Xenopus tropicalis: one gene and its partner. The protein of the gene in region 1 interacts with the protein of each later gene in a pairwise test. Links are inferred from orthologs where the notes say so. Each region holds a gene or a part of one and is shown on either strand. Other genes may lie near its edges. The genes, in order: atp6v1d and c9orf16.

The links.
Region 2: the proteins of atp6v1d (region 1) and c9orf16 interact in binary tests that used the Homo sapiens proteins (3 or more experiments, as listed by UniProt). The two-hybrid records come from large-scale screens. The link is inferred for Xenopus tropicalis from reciprocal best matches to the Homo sapiens genes ATP6V1D and BBLN.

The regions. Positions count from the first base shown.
Region 1 is NC_030684.2:119,233,263-119,237,745, reverse strand, and holds the start of atp6v1d (V-type proton ATPase subunit D), read right to left. Parts: upstream 3,112-4,483; 5' UTR 3,094-3,111; coding exon 3,053-3,093; intron 1-3,052. UniProt on the Homo sapiens protein: Subunit of the V1 complex of vacuolar(H+)-ATPase (V-ATPase), a multisubunit enzyme composed of a peripheral complex (V1) that hydrolyzes ATP and a membrane integral complex (V0) that translocates protons.
Region 2 is NC_030684.2:22,809,951-22,814,538, reverse strand, and holds c9orf16 (UPF0184 protein C9orf16 homolog), read left to right. Parts: upstream 1-1,772; 5' UTR 1,773-1,856; coding exon 1,857-1,914; intron 1,915-3,325; coding exon 3,326-3,516; 3' UTR 3,517-4,157; downstream 4,158-4,588. Other genes in the region: ptges2 (prostaglandin E synthase 2), read right to left, coding at 1-99, 1,284-1,694. UniProt on the Homo sapiens protein: Essential for intermediate filament organization in intestinal cells, interacts with intermediate filament and regulates intestinal lumen morphology.

The DNA of each region.
Region 1 (4,483 bases):
TATTAGTAGCATTTATTTATAAAGCACCAACATAATCTACAATCTTGTAGATTGTAAGCTCTTTTGGGCAGGGCCCTCTTCACCTCTTGTATCGGTTATTGATTGCTTTATATGTTACTCTGTATGTCCAATGTATGTAACCCACTTATTGTACAGCGCTGCGGAATATGTTGGCACTTTATAAATAAATGCTAATAATAATAATAATAATAATGACACGGGCACCCACCTTACTATCCCATGGGAAGCTGCCATACACATCCCTAGGCCTTTGTATGGCGTTGCTGGGAGAGTTTAATAGCACTGGGGGCTTTGCACACACACAGGATAAGGAACCTCTGCCAAAATGTTTCTAAATGAACATCCTACATTGTGCCTGGGGGCTGCCATGTTTCTTGGCTCAGCTGAGGCATTCTGCATAGAGAGCAATAGCATTGCCACCATTGTTATACTCAGCGGGGGGTTATTATTGCAGCCTATGGAAAAGCACAGCAGCCAGGTGAACCAAACACTTTCCCTTGTCCCAATGTGACTGCTACCGGTTCCCTCCATCCCTTCCTTGCTGGAACCAAACCCGGGGCCAGTATATTCCTGCTTGGCTGCCAGGCAGTGTTGCCTAAACAGAGCGCTTGTTTACACTGAGCACCCGGACAAAAACTCAAAACTGGCCACATTCCTGGCAAGGAACATAATGATGTGTGGGGGCTGGGGGGGCAGTTCCCCCCCAAAGTGCAGGAGTCTCTGTCTCTTGAATAACAACAAATAGCATTTATATAGTGATAAAAGCTCCCTGTATTGTCAAACATAAGGATATTTTAAGGTCACGGAACTCCGAGGTGACGTCTAATATCCTCATATCTTACAAGAGGGGGTACATTATTAATTACAATACACAACTTTCAGCGAGTCGTGTGACAGAAATGACACCACTGAGCGCTGTTTGTATAGATGTAGTTCATAGGATATTCATGGCTCTTATTTATTCTACAGGTATAGGACCCGTTATCCAGAATGCTCAGGACCAATTGTATTCCGGAAAAGGGGTCTTTCCGTAATTTGAATCTCTATAACTTAAGTCTACAAAAAATCACTAAAACATTAATTAAACCCAATAGGATTGTTTTGCATCCAATAAGGATTAATTATATCTTAGTTGGGATCAACTACAAAGTACTGTTTTATTATTACAGAGAAAAAGAAAATCAGTTTTAAAATTTGAAATTATTTGATTAAAATGGAGTCTATGGGAGACGGGTTTTCTGTATTTCAGAGCTTTCTGGCTGGATAACAGGTTTCCGGATAAGGGATTCCCTACTTGTATATAATTTTAGTTATGTGACTATATAGCAGCGACGCTGAATTAGTATATATTAAAAGAGTGGCTTGTTTCAATAGTCAGAACCAGCAGTGCAAAGGACTGACTGAGAGAAATAATGGAAATGTGCAATAACTGTATATAGGGAAGAGGAAAAAAAAATATATATATATACACAGACATATTTACAGTATCCCCTTTCATCAGCAGAAAGGTCAGTGTGTGTAGTCACAACCTTCTCCCTGCCATTAGGGAACTACAAGTTTCAGGAAGTCACAGAGCAGGGAGGGGAACGTACAGGCTAAACACAGGCAAGTGAACTGTGTAACTGTGTGTAACTGTGTGAGTGTGTAACTGTGTGAGTGAGTGTGTAACTGTGTGAGTGAGTGTGTAACTGTGTGGGTGAGTGTGTAACTGTGTGGGTGAGTGTGTAACTGTGTGGGTGAGTGTGTAACTGTGTGGGTGAGTGTGTAACTGTGTGAGTGAGTGTGTAACTGTGTGAGTGAGTGTGTAACTGTGTGAGTGAGTGTGTAACTGTGTGGGTGAGTGTGTAACTGTGTGGGTGAGTGTGTAACTGTGTGAGTGAGTGTGTAACTGTGTGAGTGAGTGTGTAACTGTGTGAGTGAGTGTGTAACTGTGTGAGTGAGTGTGTAACTGTGTGAGTGAGTGTGTAACTGTGTGGGTGAGTGTGTAACTGTGTGGGTGAGTGTGTAACTGTGTGGGTGAGTGTGTAACTGTGTGGGTGAGTGTGTAACTGTGTGGGTGAGTGTGTAACTGTGTGGGTGAGTGTGTAACTGTGTGGGTGAGTGTGTAACTGTGTGGGTGAGTGTGTAACTGTGTGGGTGAGTGTGTAACTGTGTGGGTGAGTGTGTAACTGTGTGGGTGAGTGTGTAACTGTGCGTATATAGTGAGGCTGCCGCACTCCCCAGCCGACACAAGTGCATGGGTTTGGCTAGTACTATGCAGCCGGCTAGCAGCTCCCATATCCCCCAGCCTAACATGGGCTCACTAGCAGCAATGGCTGGGCGCTCAGGGGCAAGGGGTGCTGGTCCCCCCAAATGGAAAAGGGTGTATATCATTAATTAGGATGTCTCAGGCCTCTGCTGAACTGCATCTCCCACTATCCCACTGATGGCCTTTAGCTGCCATTGCATGTATGTATATCTTTATTTATAAAGTGCTACTTATGTACGCAGCGCTGTACAGTAGAATACATTAATACAAACGGGGTTATTAAAATAATAATAGATAAATACAAAGTATAACAATAAATACAGATAAATACAAGATACAGTTGCAATAAGTTAAGAGTCAAAGACACAGAGGATGGAGGTCCCTGCCCTGCAGAGCTTACAATCTATATATCCATTAAGGTAGTGGGAGTTGCTGAAGGGCCCCAGGTAACAGCTGAACCCTTACACAGAATGCTTTGCCTTTGCTGCTAGTATCTGTTCCTATCCCACCCTAAACCCAAGCCAGTGGGTGAATATCACACACACACATTTATCTATCTATTTTATATATATCTTTATACACTACAGGGATCCCCCCATCAACACATACCCCTATGAGCCATTTGCCTGCCTGTAACCCCACTGACAAATACCCCAAAAGATTATAACCAACAAGGGACATCTGTGGCTCTAGTTATTGCAGAACTACAGATCCCAGAATTCCACGCCAGCAGATGCCCAAGCCCCCGATCACGGGTATATCTGACCGTATCACCATACTTACATCCTGGAAGGGAACACCTCGATCCTGTCCTTGCCCGACATCTTGACCTGCGATCTGCTTCTCCCCTCACTGACACTCGGATTCCTGCGGCAGAACCAAGAAAGCGAGAGATTGTCACGTGATCCAGGAAGGGAGGGCGTGGTTCTGTCACCTGAACATCTCTCGTCATGTGATCCGCAGCAGACGGAAAAATGCTGCGCCTGCGCACGAAGAGCGTTTTGAACTGTATTAGCTTGTCAGACGTTTTATGGGTTTCTGCACCCACATCGGAATATTTTATTCGTATTCCTTTTTTAATATGATATGAGTTACACGAAACAACATTTTAAAGCGATAATGTTCCATCTTCAATATGGCGCCCTGTAACCTCCTAACCCCGTAATGGTAGCACCGACTTCCGCTTCCGGTGTCAGCGCTGTAGTTGTGGGGTTGCGCATGCGTGTTGTTCTTTGCCGGAACGCATGCTGATGAAATAGTGCGGCGTGAGCTGAAGGAGCCCGCCCGGTGCCAACGTTCTGTTTGATCGTAGGGAACATCAGCCAAGTAAGGCTCCGACTCATGTATCTGTTCTAATAGCCGCCTTGGCCGCTCTGCTGTGGAGCTTTAGCGGCGTGGAATCGCCCTTCTATAACTATCTGTACAGGCTAGCGCGGGACACTGGGAGTTGTGGTTCTACTGTAGTTGGATGGGAATTCCCTGCAGATTCCTGTAAAACGTGTTAAAGCGATCTACCCACCCTTATACAAACGTGCTATGGCTGCTGTATATGTACGGTGGGTAACATCTCGCCTTCTAGCTGTCCCAGAACCATCTCCCTGCTGGGGCCTTTGTTAAAGGGGAATTCTCCTTAAAAAAGAAAGTGTGTTTTCTATAATGAAAGATAATGTTCTGAGTAACTTAGTTTACATTCATTGCACATTGTCAGGAAACTTGAACTTATTGGGACATGTAACGGGAATTAAAGCAGTGTTTAGCCTTTACTGTTCTCTGGTTCTGACTGTAGGAACATTGTAGCAGAATTCAGTTCTCCTCTAGATTTGTTTACCTGTTGGCTTGTGCTACATTGTTTCAGGAGTCAGAGCCAGCAGTGCAGATTATATTGCTTTCAACCTGCTGACAGCCAGCTGTTGTTGAATCTGCAGCCCTCAGCAGTTGGTGGATGCTGGCACTTGAAGTACACAGAGGCCCAAACATCCCCAATAAATAGTAACTGGCTATTACAGGGGTCCCCAACCTTTCTTACTCGTGAGCCACAGTCAAATGTAAAAAGACTTGGAGAGCAACACAAGCACCATAAAAGTTCACGGAGGAGCCAAATAAGGGCCAAAACGTTAGTGGCCGATTGAACGATCTTTCATGCGACCAAAAGATCTGAAATCGCCACGTGTGTGGCCACCTTAAGAGGAACTCCATCCAAACACAATTTAATCC
Region 2 (4,588 bases), about 96 Mb from region 1:
ATGAGGCAGCTGATAAAAATCGAGGAAGGCACGCACTTTGCTGCAGAACGGGCAGGTTTTGTACTGGTATAGGGTCAGCTTGAGCGTGCCGTCCGTGGCCTGACAAAACAGGATTCTTGTGAAACAACAACAAATCTGCTTATACGCAAAACAAGGCAGTGCAACCAGTTTCTTTGGTTTCATTTACATCAACAAATAACATGCCTTAGGCTACTGGAACTGGGCATTTTTACCCACTGGCACTAAACAGCAATGGTCAAAGCCTGATATTTCTCCTAATAGTATTATATATAAAACACCCAGTAAAGCACTGACAAGTGGACCTTGGAGCCAGAACACTAACTGAAGCCCGCCAGTCACTGCTCCTTATTTGTACAACAAAGCACCCTTCAAACCAGCTATTCTACTCCTTGTTGGCAGCTTCCCCAGGCTGGGCAGCAGCTTCCAGGACTTCAGGATTCCATCCAATCAGCAAATAGGCTGGCCTGACAGGAAACTGCAGTTCAACTTCACCTGTGTAAATAAAGATCTTATATTGGCTAGCAACATTCTACTGTGCTTCTGGGGAGGGACTGTTAGAACATTGTCCAACAGCAACTGGTAATAGAGACAGACTTCATGTGGAGGAGCACCACAAACCAATCCATACAGACTGCTCTATCAGACCTGTGCATTCTGGGTCTTTGCATACACCGCCCACCAGCAATGCCAGTGACTAGCAGGCCAGTGCCCTGTGCCCTTCTGGGAGCCGCTGTGACGTTTAAGTACTTGGTAAATCCTGGTGCCTTAGCATCTCCATCCTCAGGAAGCACTGTAATTGGTTGCTCTTTAATCAACACAAACTAGAAAGTCACTCTGGGCAGGTTGCATTTCCAGATAGAATGCAAGGGAAATGTGGCGGCAGCATTGAAGGGGAGAAGGTGTCTCAGCTTTTGTTTTTGTGTTTTTTGCCTCTGTGGCTGGGAGACCGACACAGATATCCCCCCTGCCCTGCTTTACCCTAAATCTTGCCCTATCTCGTGCCTAGTGATGTCAGTTGAGTGACATCACTTGACACCAATTCTGACTGATGACATCACTAGGCACCATATAAGGATACATATTACACAGTGACAGAATACAGCCTTTTAGGTCCCCCACCATCCTTAGCATTCATCTGTCACAGCTACAAGGGCCCATAGGGGAAGAGGGGCCCTAGAGCAGTTGTACCCCCGTCCAGTAGTCCCACCAGTGACAATTCATGGCTCATGTATAACATATGTACATATAGTGTATGTTCCTACCTGCTGCTCCTCCTCTGCCCTCTGTTCCCCCAAGGAGGACTGGAGCGCCTGGAATACCCCCAGAGAGCCCCCCAGCACAAAGGCCAAACCCAGCAGCTTCCTAGTCCTTCTGTCTGAGTCCTTCCACCACCCACCGGCTCTAAAGCCCCTCACTACCGGGCAGGTGGGGCCAACTAATGGAAGGTTGCTCTTGCCCACTGCCCTATACAAGGGAAGGTGACTGCGAGTCCCCAGGCTCATGTGAGCCCTGGCACCCAGACCAGACACAATCAGGGACCCACCGCCTGATACCGAGGGGAAAGAAAGACACCGGCCGGTTTGCGCCGCCCCCATTACAACCCCTGTCAAGCGCTGAGGCAGCACAAGCCGCCTAGTGCTTGCCCCAAACAACCCGGCTGTGTACGCAGCCATCTTGCCTCTAGCTACGCCCCGCCCACTACATGCTAGCACCTCCGTACTAACCAGTCGGAAGCACCCTCTTGCGTTTCATTGGTTGCATCTCCGTGACGTCACGCATGCATTCCCAAGGTCACGGGGTTTGGGAGTGACGTGAGAAGGAGAGGTGGGAGCGAAATGTCTGGACCAAACGGGGATCCGGTGGTGCCGCTGGGAGAGGCGACAGGAGATGAAGGTTCGTCATAGTTAGCCATAGCCTGGGCTGGGGGCTCGGAAGGGTAACCCTGACCACATTCTCTCCACATGTTCCTACCGCTGCTTTTAATAGTGATCATCTTTCTAAACCTGACTGAGACGCAATGGCGCTTCTTATTTTACTTGCCCTTGTGGGACCCTATTTTGGCTTCTGTAGCCGTGGGGCTATTGGGGCAAATCTATCTGGGCTCTTTTTCCAGAGCAGTAACTCACAGGGTTCCTATTGGTCACCATTATAAAGGGGGCCTTTACACCAGGGAGAAGTTCTTAATGGTGGGTTTGGGGCTTTGTGACTTGCTGATCAAGGTGCTAGCCCGTCGATATCTCCACTGTATTCATATCATTGACTGTCAGGCAGTGTTAAGCTGGCCCACCAGGATACCAGGAAAACTCCCGGTGGGCCCAGGTATAAGTGGGCCCTCCTGCTCCTTACCATTTGGCCTGCTTTATGCTCATTTCCTATTTCTGAATGGGAACAAAGAGGAGAGACAGATGAAAGAATAGACACTAGCATGTAAATAAAAGAGACTAGGAGAATAAAGAGGTTGGTGAGCAAAAGGCGGAAACATTGTTTGGAAAGCGGGCCTATGGGCTAAGGGTTTTTGGTGGGCCCCTGGGTTCCCAGTCAGGCAACTGCTGTCCGGACACGCTGTAAGGTGTAGGATGGATAACTAAAAGCTTATACTGCCAGAGATCGGCCAGCGCACCAGATTCCCAGATCTGCAGGCCTTTGGGACATGGCAGTTGCGTGTGACGGCTGTACTTGCTGCCAGCCCAGCTGCTCCCCGACCTGGTATATAAATTGGAGTTGCAGGCCGGTCAGTTAGGGGTCTTAAAATGTTCGACCCTTGCATCACTATTTTGCAACCCATTAGCCAACTTTTGTAATATTGTTATAAAGGGAGGTGCACACAGTTCCTTATATCCCTGGTCATGGTTTGTAGGGTGCTGCTCATGATCAAAAACCTATTTGGGGGTGGGATAATGTAAAAAGTGCAGTTATAGGACTGTGGTCCTGCCAATATATAATGCATTTCCCTGATTTTACAGGGAATAATGCACTGAAATAGATATACACCGCACAGTTCTCAAGAATAAGGGGAAAGTGTTAGTAGGGGTTAGATGTTTGGAAATAGAGGGACCGGCCCCCTCGCCCTGCAGGTCTACTATAATGTAATATAATGCCAGTCATGCTTATACAGGGTGATTCTCAATAAGTTTGACACCATTTTTTTTTTTGTTTCCTGAAAACCATAAAATGGAGGTTAGACCTGCAGGGCGAGGGGGAGGTTAGTACATTGGACCCTAGCAACCAGACAGCTGCTCAACATTACTTTAAGGGTAGGCTACCCCTTAGCAGTGCACTACTAACCACTGTGTATTCCCTGTAGATTACGCAGCCTTGGACTTTATGTTGGATCAGATCAATTTCTGCCTGGATCACTTAGAGGAGAAAAATGACCAATTGCATGCACAGCTTCAGGAGTTGCTGGAATCCAACCGCCAGGCCCGGAGGGACTTCCAAATGCAGATACATCAGGATCTGACAAACAGTCCAGACGGGGAGCATTCAGACACGTAACCCACCACCCCGAGCACAAAGGACATCCAAGACGTGGCCAGACTTTCTAGCACAGTGACCACTCTGTAGTCTCTATAAGGTATTCAGATCCCACACAATAAGAGGCACCAGTGCCCGGTCCCTATTGGGAATATTGCATTATTTTATTTGACACAGTGGGGCGGAGTAAAAAAAAAAAAAAACTAAAGAATTACAAGTTTAAAAAAGAAACTGTGTTTTGGGCTGTTGTATGATTGAGCATGCAAAGCAGCCTGTGCTGTCACTGTTGTAGGAAACTGATCTCCTCCTCGCATCTTTATCCCCTTAGGTTCCCCTTTAAAAGGGAAAGACGTACAACTTACACTTGTTAAAATGTTGTCTCTGATGTTGTTTCAGTACTAAATATAGCAGCCAAGCGCTAAGTGATAGCAAGAGGCCTCAGCAATCAATTTATTTATGTTAGTCGTGGAACTTGACCGTTAAAAAAAAGACAACCCATTCCTGTTCTTTGAAACATAGCAATGCACTAATGGGCAGAATTGGACCAATTGCAGTTGCACATGATTATGTTAGTACTGTGTAATTGTGAGCAGTGCCCCCAGGGCGGCGCTGTGTTATTTTCTTTCCAGGGAATTATAAGAATAAAGATCCCTGAATAAAAAGCTGTGCATTTTCTTTTAACACTGTAAGGGGGGCAACAAAGCACCAGGGCTCGCCTGAGCATGCCACGTTGATGAATTTGGACACAAAAGTGTGACCGATTAACGTTTAGTATTTTATACAATGTCCAGTTATTAGCAACTTGTCAGTTGATCTTGTTTTACCATTTCTGCATTATTTAACTTCTTCTGACACTCTCCAGCTTTCAGGGGTTACTGACCCCAGCAGCCACGCAACCATTGTTCTTTCAGTTTTACAGTTTTTTAGTTGCTACAGTTTTATCGTTATTGCTGCTGTTTATTACTTATCTTTCTAATCAGTATCCCCCTTTCTATTCATATTCCAGTCTTTCATTCATGCCACTGCCTTGTTGTCAGGGTAAATGGGACCCTAGCAACCAAAGAGCTGCTAAACAAAAGCTAATTAAAAAAAC